2 linked regions of the Oryzias latipes genome follow. The protein of the gene in region 2 interacts with the protein of the main gene of each other region in a pairwise test. Links are inferred from orthologs where the notes say so. Each region holds a gene or a part of one and is shown on either strand. Other genes may lie near its edges.

Region 1 (4,640 bases), on a different chromosome or scaffold from region 2:
GCGAGACAGTCATTCTTTTCTTATTAGAAAATGCACAGAACGTATGTCAATTCTTTGTATTTTTTGGTCCATTTGAATTCACACTGTAACAAACCACATCAGGGTTCACTTGCAAGCAAACCGGGACTCTGTTTTAAAGTCCCAGTCTGATTATATTTTTTTATTTAAAGTGTTTTTTAATCAAAATACTAATAAAAAAAATCTGTGTTGGAGTGGTGGAACCTTCCGGTTTGGTCCCCTTCACGCAACATATGGATGGATATTTGGGCTCTTAGATCAAATAAATATAAAAACCTCCCAATTCATGAATTTTTGTAAAACTGACCTTGTGTGGGTGTCCGCTGGTTATTTGTGTCGGAATATTGTCCTGGTTTTTGAAGACGATACTTCACAGAGAAGTTCTTGATTTCTTCGTCTCATCTCCACCAGCTTCATCAGACGTTTTCTCTTCTTCTTTTTGAATTTATGGACCACATTTTAGCATCAACAGATCGAGTTCATGCTTAAGAGTAAACTGACCCAACACTGAACAGACAACGCTGCTTCCCAATGCATGGTCAAGGGTTTTTGTTTATATATGTACAGTTAAAATCACAGTTTCAACAAAATATAAAATAAATAACATTAACAATACTAAGATAAATGCATTCTGAGTGACAAGTCCAGTAAAGAATTAGGCATCTTTTTTTTTCTGTTAATTTAAACTACAGACATTTGTTCTCGCCAAACAACATTTCCCATGAAGCACTGGGTGGAATCCTCCCAATTCACATATTCATTATGTTTTAGAAAATATTTGTCAAGTCGTGTTTCATTGGTTCCTATTTTTTTTGTTTTTGCATCTGGAAATTCCTCCCACCTCCTTCAGCGAATAGACCAACCACAGATCAGCCATGGGGATCCCTGCAGCCAATCAGGAGGAGGCGTCCACGGGAGCATCTGACAGTGTCAAGGACAAAAGGTGAGAGGTCACAGAGGCAGAGGTCAGCAGCAGCAGGGCCCAGGTACGCCACCCTGGAGTGTGTGTGTGTGTGTGTGGGTGTTGGTGTTACTGTACTCTCAGAGGCAGACTCAAGGCTGTCAGTCTTGCAGAAAACTGATCAGTTTTTTGTTTTGTTTTACAATTGCAATGCATTTTTAATCTTTATAAAAGAACAAATTAAACTTTTATTCTCAGTTGTAAACAAACAAAAATAAATTACATATATGTTTGAGAGAAGTACATGCTCTGCAAAAACCAAATCTTAAGAAAGTAAAAAGACTCATTTTTCACGAAAAATTGTCAATAGAAAAATAATATTAGTTTGAGAAAACACGTCTTAGTTACTAGAATTTTGTTTTAAAAAATAAGAATTGCTGGACGGACCTTTTTTTCATCTCTGGCAGATTTTTTTTCACATTTATAGATTTTTTTTTTCAAATTTGAAAAGTTTTTTTCCATATTTGTTTAATATTTTCTATCCCCCTTTCAGGGTGATGGGGTTGCTGGGGCCTGTCCTGTTGGGTCAGGTCCTCTGAACTCATGGAACAAAAATGTTCATCAAGCAAAGCTAACCCAAATGAAACCCGATGAGGATAACATTTAAAAAAAAAAACCTGCCCGTCTGTTTGGGAACCACTGAGTTCTGTGTGGAGTGTTAGAGGTCTGCTCCTGTCGCTCTGCAGGCTCACACAGACGCAGCGTAAAGTGAGACGTCTCAGCTGCAGGACCACTCTGACTAATGACTTGTTTCTTTTCAGGCCGAGGCGCTTCGCCGTCGTTTTGCCTGAGTGTCGGATGACAGCAGGACTGGAGCTACATTCACACCGCCCTCAACAACATGCGTTCAAGCCCCCACCTTTGTTGAAAAGTCTATGTAGGTGCTATAGCAAGTTTCTATGATTGTTTTTGGGCTTTACACACAAAATGCACAGCCGTTGAACGCGCGTTGGCAGTTAAACCAGGTAGAACTTTGACCAATCAGGGACTTGGATTTGGTAGTGACGTATGGATGACGTCCGCTATAATTCATGGAAGTGCCAACAATTTGGAAATTGATCATAAAAAGGAAATTGTCTTTGATATATCAGAAAAGAACTGGATCGAGGTTTACACCGCTTTGACATTTTGCACCAAGCCTCTTCCGACTGTAGGTGGTGCACACGCGCTAATAAACTGTAGAAGAAGAAGAAGCCCCTCCCTGCTCTGGGGTGAACACATTGGGCCAAACCGACGGTCTAGAACACGCTTGGTGTGAACATAGCTTCTCATCAAAGCGTCAGTAACAGAAGTCAAGAGGACACCCAAAGATGAGCACACTGGAGACATTTCCTTCAAGTGGGGCTCATGAATTCAAAGGTGTTTGAGTGAGGTCTCAACCAAACTGTTGGCTTCATTTAAACCCTCATCTGTCCCTGTTCCAATGCTCAGTTTGAATGTCAGCGTGGAGCAAGCCTCTGCGGTGCGATTGGCCGATTGCCGTTACTGTGCCTGATGGGTCGTAAGCGTCATCACCTGTTACGGGAATCCCTGATCGCCTGGCGCCCTTCCAGAGCGCGCTCTGTGAGTACAGTCACACACGTGTGCTTGAAGTGTGTGCATGTCGGTGCGTTTCTGGACTCCAGTGTTTTATTGCAGCATCTGTGATGTTGGCTGGAACTCAGTATAGTCGCAGCAGAAACTCCCTCCTCCTGACGAAAAAAAAAAAAAAAAAAAGAAGAAAAAAAAGGGGGGGGGGGGGTCCAGGGACGAGAGCGATCAGGAGAATCCAAAGAAACAAAAGGAACATGTTCCTTAGTGAGAAATCTGTTAGAAAATAGACATCAGGTCTTTGCGTAAATCAGTAGTTTGAAGGAAGCGGCAGCCTTCCTATGTCCGTTTGATGACAACAGAAGTGAAAGGAGCAAACGGGAGGCGGCAGGGGAGCAAGAAGGGCAGCGAGGGCCGGTGGAGGCGGGCGGAGGGAGCAGCCGGGGCTCCAGCTGAGACAGAAACAGGGAGAGACTCGTCGATTGCCGTCTTTCCTTGACCGTCCTGAAGAAAGCGCAACCGCAGGGTGAACAGAAAACCAGCATTTTTCAGATGCACTAAAAGTTTATGGCACAGATGAAACTCTCTCCTGGTGAGACGCAGCAGATTCTGTCGCTCATCTCCCAAACGTACGAAAAAGAGAAAAAAGAAATCCCAAATTGTTTGTTTTTTTTGCCTCCGTCAGTAAAGACTGTGGTAGAAAATTGAAAAGAAAAGCAGGAAACAGGAAAAAAAACCGAAGGGAGAACATGGATTAGACAGAAAAAGAACACGGCGTGATACATTCTACATAAAAACCCTTTAAAGTTTGAATACAAAAATAAACTCCTGTTTGGTGTGGGACGTGCTGCTCTGACGAGGATCGCAGTTTTGTGTTGTTGTGTTGTTTTTTTGGGGCGGAATCCTGCAAACTCAGTCAGTTTGGTTCAGAATTTTCTGGCGGTGTAAACCCGCTCCGCTGATCCGAGTTCTGCTTGGGATGTGTTATAGCAGGCGTTTTAAGACAGATGGATAAAAAGAAAAACCGGGGTGTCAGGTTAAAAGAGGCAAAAGAAAGAAAAAAAGGAGGGAAAACTTGAAAAAGAGCAAAGCAAAGCCGTGGCAGTCGGAGATATTCTGGTTCTGAAGAAAATCCGAATGTGGTAGAAAAAGGCTGCAGGTGTTTGAGAGGAGAGATGAAAGGCTGTGACAGCAGTCCTGCGGGACGGTGGAGGGAGGAGTGGCACTAAGACTCCGAGGAGGTGCGGGAGCCACCGTGAATGAGCGCCTTGTAGATGTTGGAGGAGAGGAACCGCGGGTAAGAATCCCTGTGCATGAGCGTGTAGATCTGCAGCTGGGCGTCCTCGAACGTGTGAGGCGTGGGGTCCTGCATCTTCCTGTTGATGACCTCCCGCACCCGGGCGTCCAGGCTCACCTGTGGAGAAACGCGTTTGTCAGGAGGACGGGGGCAAAAGCTGGACCTTTTGACCTCCACACATTCATTTGAAACCATTTGTTAGGAGGATTTCATATATTTCAATGTGAATTGATAAACTCCACTGATCTGATCTTATTTTATGTCTTTTCTTGCATTTGTGTTAGAAAATAAAAGCACTTTGAAATATACTCCTCTTCTGCTCTTTCTTTTTTTTTAAATCTTTTTTTGAAAAAAAAATCCAGTTAGGTTCTTGAAATGACACCAGTTGGCATGAATACATTAGAGGAAAAGTACGGTTAACCTCAATCATAACTTCAAGTTGCAGTTCTGAAGTTGCAAAAGTAGATTTAAGCCCCCATAAAGGATTACAAGTCCAGATATGTGGACATCATCTTTTATTTATTTCGTTTATTTTTTTATAAATATATATAAACCCTGCTGCTTTTACTAATAAATGTTTAATTACATTATCTTTTAAATTCAAAACACAATTAAATCCTTAGAACAAAAACACTAATAACACAATATTTTAATATATTCAGAAAGGATTCTGAAAATGATTTTGCATCAAAAAAAGTCACTTCCATTCAACTGTAGTGGGAAATTTCAAAGCAGCAATGATACAACCGAAAAATGGAATTGTACTTAAAAAAAACAAAAAAAACAGCCAGCATCCTCTTGTAACCCCTTGTGCTCTCCTAGGCACTTTAAGAT
Region 2 (5,210 bases):
GAAAGACTTTATATCTTTTCTAAAACAGTTTTAATCTTTTAAGAGACAACCGATTTGTTGGCGCCCGCAGCTGAACTGACAGGCGTTTTTTATATTTATTTATTTATTTGCTTTAATAAAAAGAAATAAAAATAGAAATCTTATTTTAAACCTGAGAGAACAAGCTTTGGCTTCAAATAAGTGATTAGAAATAAACAAAACCAACAATTTCAGATAAATGTTCTGTAACTTACTCTTGTCTTGCAGCGTGCTGCAGAACAGGACTGAGCGACCCGCTCTGCAGCCTCAGTGGGTGTCCGCAGTTCAAATGCTGCAGCTCCTGCAGGTGGATCCAAGGTGAGGCTGAATGTGGCACATTAATCAAGGCTCTTTCGTCGTTTCTTTGCCCTTTTATGGTGGGGTGGAATCGCACTCTGCACACCAGGAGTTTAAAAAAAAAGTCATCCGGAAACTCCAACCATGTTCCCACAGTGCTACGTTTTTGTTGTTGCTATTTTTTCCACTATTTTGCCGCCCAATATCTGAGGTAAATTGTTTCTTTGGACGTTGTTCTGTGAACACTCCGTTTGTGACATCCCGTGCTGAAAGTTATCATAGTTCATCTTGTCGTTTAGGGGAAATCGTGGCACTTTTGTTGAACTTGTGGAGTTGTTGAAGACGAGAGTGGTGGGGCTCCCACCCTTGTCAGTGGCATAACCTGGATGTTTCAATCAATAGAGTTTCTTTTTGTCCCCTCAATATAAGCCGAGAGCTCGATAAGGTTGTCATCACAAATGTCGCTGCTGACACTCGCACTCTCATCTTCCCCGCGGATAAACATGCCTTTATTATGCCAATACCTTTGACCCTTGGGATGGCCGCGCGCACAGCCGCATTCATTGTCAGGCTTGATGCGTAAAACCGACACGTAAAGTTTGTGCGTTTTTCTGCAGACATCTTGTGGGTATTGTGCATAAATTCTAACCCAACATCCCAATACATGTTCCCCCAAAGACGTGACAAGAAAGAAAACATTCAGAGCGAGACGGACTTTAATGCACACGATTGACCCGTAAACGTCTCTCTGGACAAAACAGTTTGCATGTGCATCGCGGGATTGAATATATACAAAGCCTGAAACACTAAAGCTTTGAACGGCCTGTTCCGCAACTGATAAAACTCAGCGCCACTGCAGTCATGACACGTGAAGGCAGCTTGCAAATCTCACAATACATTCAAACAGTCGACACACAGACACCTGAAACAGATAAATAACAGGGGAACCATAACAGTTCACTCACTAAACATTCAAAAACGAGGTATTCTCGTTGATTGTGTGTTGCCTTGGTGATGGCACAGTGCGTTCACACGTGTGATCGGAATGCACAGCTTGGGCACCTTTGAGGTATTCATTTGTCAGCAGATTTTTGATTATAGCAGCAATTGGCAGGTAGAAGTGACACCATCTAACAAAGTTTGGCAAATTTCGAGCCAAATTTAACGCAATGGGGCTTGTTTGGACAGCAGCGCCTTTGTTTTTACAGATACATAATACAATATATAACAGTTCTTGACTCCAGAAATCACAATTGTCCAGGATCCCTAGTGTTTTCCAATTTATGGATGTCTACACAACAAAAACTTCAATACAAGTAAACTTAGGTAAATACAGAACGCTGTGGCCCAGAGAGGAAAGGAGGGCAGTTGGTCCTCAGTTTGAATTGTAGGCATCCGCTCCTGTGGAAGACACCGTGGATGAGGAGGGGGAGGGGGTGGAGGGAGCCGAGATTGACTTCTCAGACGCAGCATCGTTTGTTTTTTCTCCCTGGTCTGAGGTAGAAACTTTAGCTGGCATGAGTCCTTCTTTTTCGCGCTTCTTTTGCTTCATTCTCCGGTTCTGGAACCAAATTTTCACCTGAGTCTCATTCAGCTGCAGCGCAGCTGCGATTTCAACACGGCGAGCCCGAGTCAGGTACTTGTTGAAGTGGAACTCCTTCTCCAGCTCTGTCAGCTGCTTGGTGGTGAAGTTGGTTCGAACAGTGTTCGGCTGACCAGAATATCCATATTCACCAGACCTCCCTGTGGGCAATAAATTCTTCACTTTAAAAACAGACTGGTTGGTTTTCTGTCATCAAACAGAACGTAAACTCTGGAACAATGTCGTCATAACTTCACTTTTACGCAGCGTCTGATAACTTTTACGCATCGATCAGTAGTTATCCTCTTATATTTAATATAACAAATATACAAGTTTTATTATATACTTTAGAGCACATTATTTTCTGAGAATGTAAAGATGTAAACTTTTTCCAGAAGCAAACATTTTAGCTATTAATCTTTCATTAATCTCGTTTACACATTAGTGCGTCCAGTGAAGAAGCATGTTGTAGGCGCCCTTCAGCTCAAAGCTCGGATCATTTAACCCGCTTGTTTTAGACACTACGTATACGTCCATGCACACACAAAAACAAGATAGCACACACCTGTTTTTGGTGGATTCCTCTTAACTTTCATCCAGTCGAAAGTTTGCGCGGCCACTGCTCCCTCGGACAGAGGGGAACAACAAGCTTCCAGGTGTCCGGCGTGCAGAGGGGACAGGGGGTTCGAGGCAACAGGATACGCGGCTGTCTGCTCATGCCCGCCGCCATAGGCAACGTGGGTATACTGCAATTGACCCAGGGGGGCGGCACTGTAACCATGACGATGCTGAGGGACCACGGATGAGGATATGTTACCTGCATACATGAGTGGGCCACACTGAGGAAATGCAGCTGAGTCTACTTCCTGGTTGAGAGTATAATGGTTGTAAGAGGCGCAGAAACTTTGGGGTCCATAGTTGGAGTTGCAGGCCGGATGGGCCCCGCAAGAGAGACCAAGCGAGCCCGCAGTAGACTGGTATGACCCCGAATGAAGAGAGATGCTGTCGGGAGACGTCCTGTTTGACATGAAGTGCTCATCCGCCCCGCAGTTGTTGACAGCAGCCCCGCAGGACTGAAAACTTGTAATCCCGTGGTCCGAGTGGAAGGTTCTGACCGAACACGACCCACTTTCTCCGCTCATCACCGAATAGTCTAAAAAGCTGCTCATTGTAGCATTGTTGTGCCCTGACCGAGGGACTGTCTTCTTTGCAGACACCCCTCTGCTGTCTTGCCGCTCCCCACTCTCACCCTAAGTGATCCTGCCAACTTGTACCTTAACTCAGTTCTTATCAGTAAGGGAAGGAGGGCGCGTGGGGTGATATCAATGAACGGGTGCTGTCACGTGGGCCAGGGTCAGCCAGTAAGGTACTTGTCCTCGTCCACTTAGCCGGTGACAGATTGGTGTTTGAGGGGCTATTTAAATTCCAAGCGCTCGTCGATCAAGGTGACGCGCGCCGCCACTAATGTATGGGCCAAGCAAACAATGAGCTGGGAGTCAGACGGCGGTGGACAGCTCCGGGGTCGCAGGAGGAGCGGGACGCTGCAGACATGCTGTACCGTAACCCCCGCTGCCCGCTCTCCCACAGGGAGAGATTAGCGAGTCACCCTCCGCAGCCTGACATGACGACGGCCCAACACTTTGACCCCAGGTACGGTATTTTTGGAACACAGAGAGATCATTGTCTGCATGCGTGTGTGTTGGAGCGCGTGCACGTTCGTGCCCTCCACGCTTTATAGGCGCGATATCATATAGCCTATAACCGTGTCACCCTCCCTGTAGATGGATGGATGGCTCAGAGTGCGTGTGCCACTGCCATAGGCTATCTGTGGGCTATTAATGTCCCATTCTAATGCGAAATGTTTCACGCTTGAACATTAAGGGATTTTCTCTGCAAATATTGTCACAGTGCGACAGTGAGGGAGAGGCAAGAGGGGTTCCGACTTTCTTCCACTGACAGAAGCCTTCTTGGGCTTTGCATTTTCTGTGCATCTGTTTTAGCATGCACAAGAAAGTGACGTGGCGCTGCACATCTGTTTTGAGCGTGTCACTTCACAGCATGTGGCAGTGAAAAACGACAACCCCGGCCTGAACTTTTTACCCCGACACATCCCGGCTCGCCCCTTGTGGTGACGCAGTAAAATGACGCGCAAAAAAGCAGAATGCGTACAAATAAATAAATGTCAAGAATGATGAAACGGCAAAGACAACACAGGGCTTCAGATTGAGTTGTTATTAGTGTGTTTCTTTCTCCCGTGGTCGCGGGGTCGTCCATTTGCCTGCAATCCTCTGCGTGTTTTCATTATGCATAAATGGTGATCAAATAAAATAACAGGATGAGGTCTGTCCTGGCGCTCCTGATTACACTGCTTCGCGTAAAGCTCGTGGAGATATTAATGGCACCAAAAAGTAATGGGGAAATCTATGAGTGTGAAGAGAAGAGGTCTGGGGGGGGGGGGGGGGGGGGGGCTACTTAGGGCAGTGGTGGCAGATCCCCAACCTCTCGAAAAGGAAGGAGAAGAAAAGGGAGGGAGGCAAAAGAGGGGAGTCACTTGGAAGAACGAGCGCCCCTACAGGCTATAGGAGGTCAAGCAGACTTGATGTTTATTAACATTTCATGGTCAGTAGTTTTCTATAGATACAGACTTCTAAGATGATTCTGAGTTTAATTGAAGTTTTTAGTTTATGCAACCTTATACGTTTTCCCAATGTGTGAGGGCAAAACTTAAAAAATCCCTTTCTGCATAAAACTACTTGCAGTTTTCCCACTTTTTAGACTTTTAAAGTTTTGTTTTAAGATTAACTTTGTTGAAAACTGTAACAACGGTTTGGAGACTTATTTTCTCCAAACTGCTACCCTGACCAGACCATAACCAGACCAGTATCACGGTGCCACATGTTGCTGGTCTGTTAAATGAAGTTGAATTACAACATGGTGATTTTTGTCTCTGAAATAATTCAGAGTTAATAGAAACAACATTTTCTTTTTTCAAGTTTCCAAGAGATACATAAAGTGAGTTTGGTTTGTAGGGAAATAAACTTGCTGCAAAAACAGATCCCTTAGAAAATAAGTGAAAAGTCTTAAAATTTAAAAATTTTTCTTTTAATAAGCAAAGAAATCTGCCATTGAGGTAAGAAAAACTGTCTTAATTAATAACTTTCAACAAAACAGGAAAATTGTTTTTGAAATGAGGACCTTTGAACTTTCTGAAGATTCAGTTTTTTGCAGTGCAGAAGAACTTGCTAACAAAAAAGGGGGGGCGCATTGTGGGTCAGTTCCCCACACCCACCCACCCCTCCCTCCCTTCTCTCAG

Evidence for each region. The genes of interacting proteins can lie anywhere in the genome.
Region 1: the proteins of homeobox protein Hox-A1a (region 2) and regulator of G-protein signaling 17 interact in binary tests that used the Homo sapiens proteins (3 or more experiments, as listed by UniProt). The two-hybrid records come from large-scale screens. The link is inferred for Oryzias latipes from reciprocal best matches to the Homo sapiens genes HOXA1 and RGS17.

Annotation. Positions count from the first base shown.
Region 1 is NC_019865.2:27,315,440-27,320,079, forward strand, and holds the end of regulator of G-protein signaling 17, read right to left. Parts: intron 3,924-4,640; coding exon 3,735-3,923; 3' UTR 553-3,734; downstream 1-552. UniProt on the Homo sapiens protein: Regulates G protein-coupled receptor signaling cascades, including signaling via muscarinic acetylcholine receptor CHRM2 and dopamine receptor DRD2.
Region 2 is NC_019869.2:11,314,657-11,319,866, forward strand, and holds homeobox protein Hox-A1a, read right to left. Parts: upstream 3,543-5,210; 5' UTR 3,067-3,542; coding exon 2,463-3,066; intron 2,059-2,462; coding exon 1,691-2,058; 3' UTR 1,014-1,690; downstream 1-1,013. UniProt on the Homo sapiens protein: Sequence-specific transcription factor. Regulates multiple developmental processes including brainstem, inner and outer ear, abducens nerve and cardiovascular development and morphogenesis as well as cognition and behavior.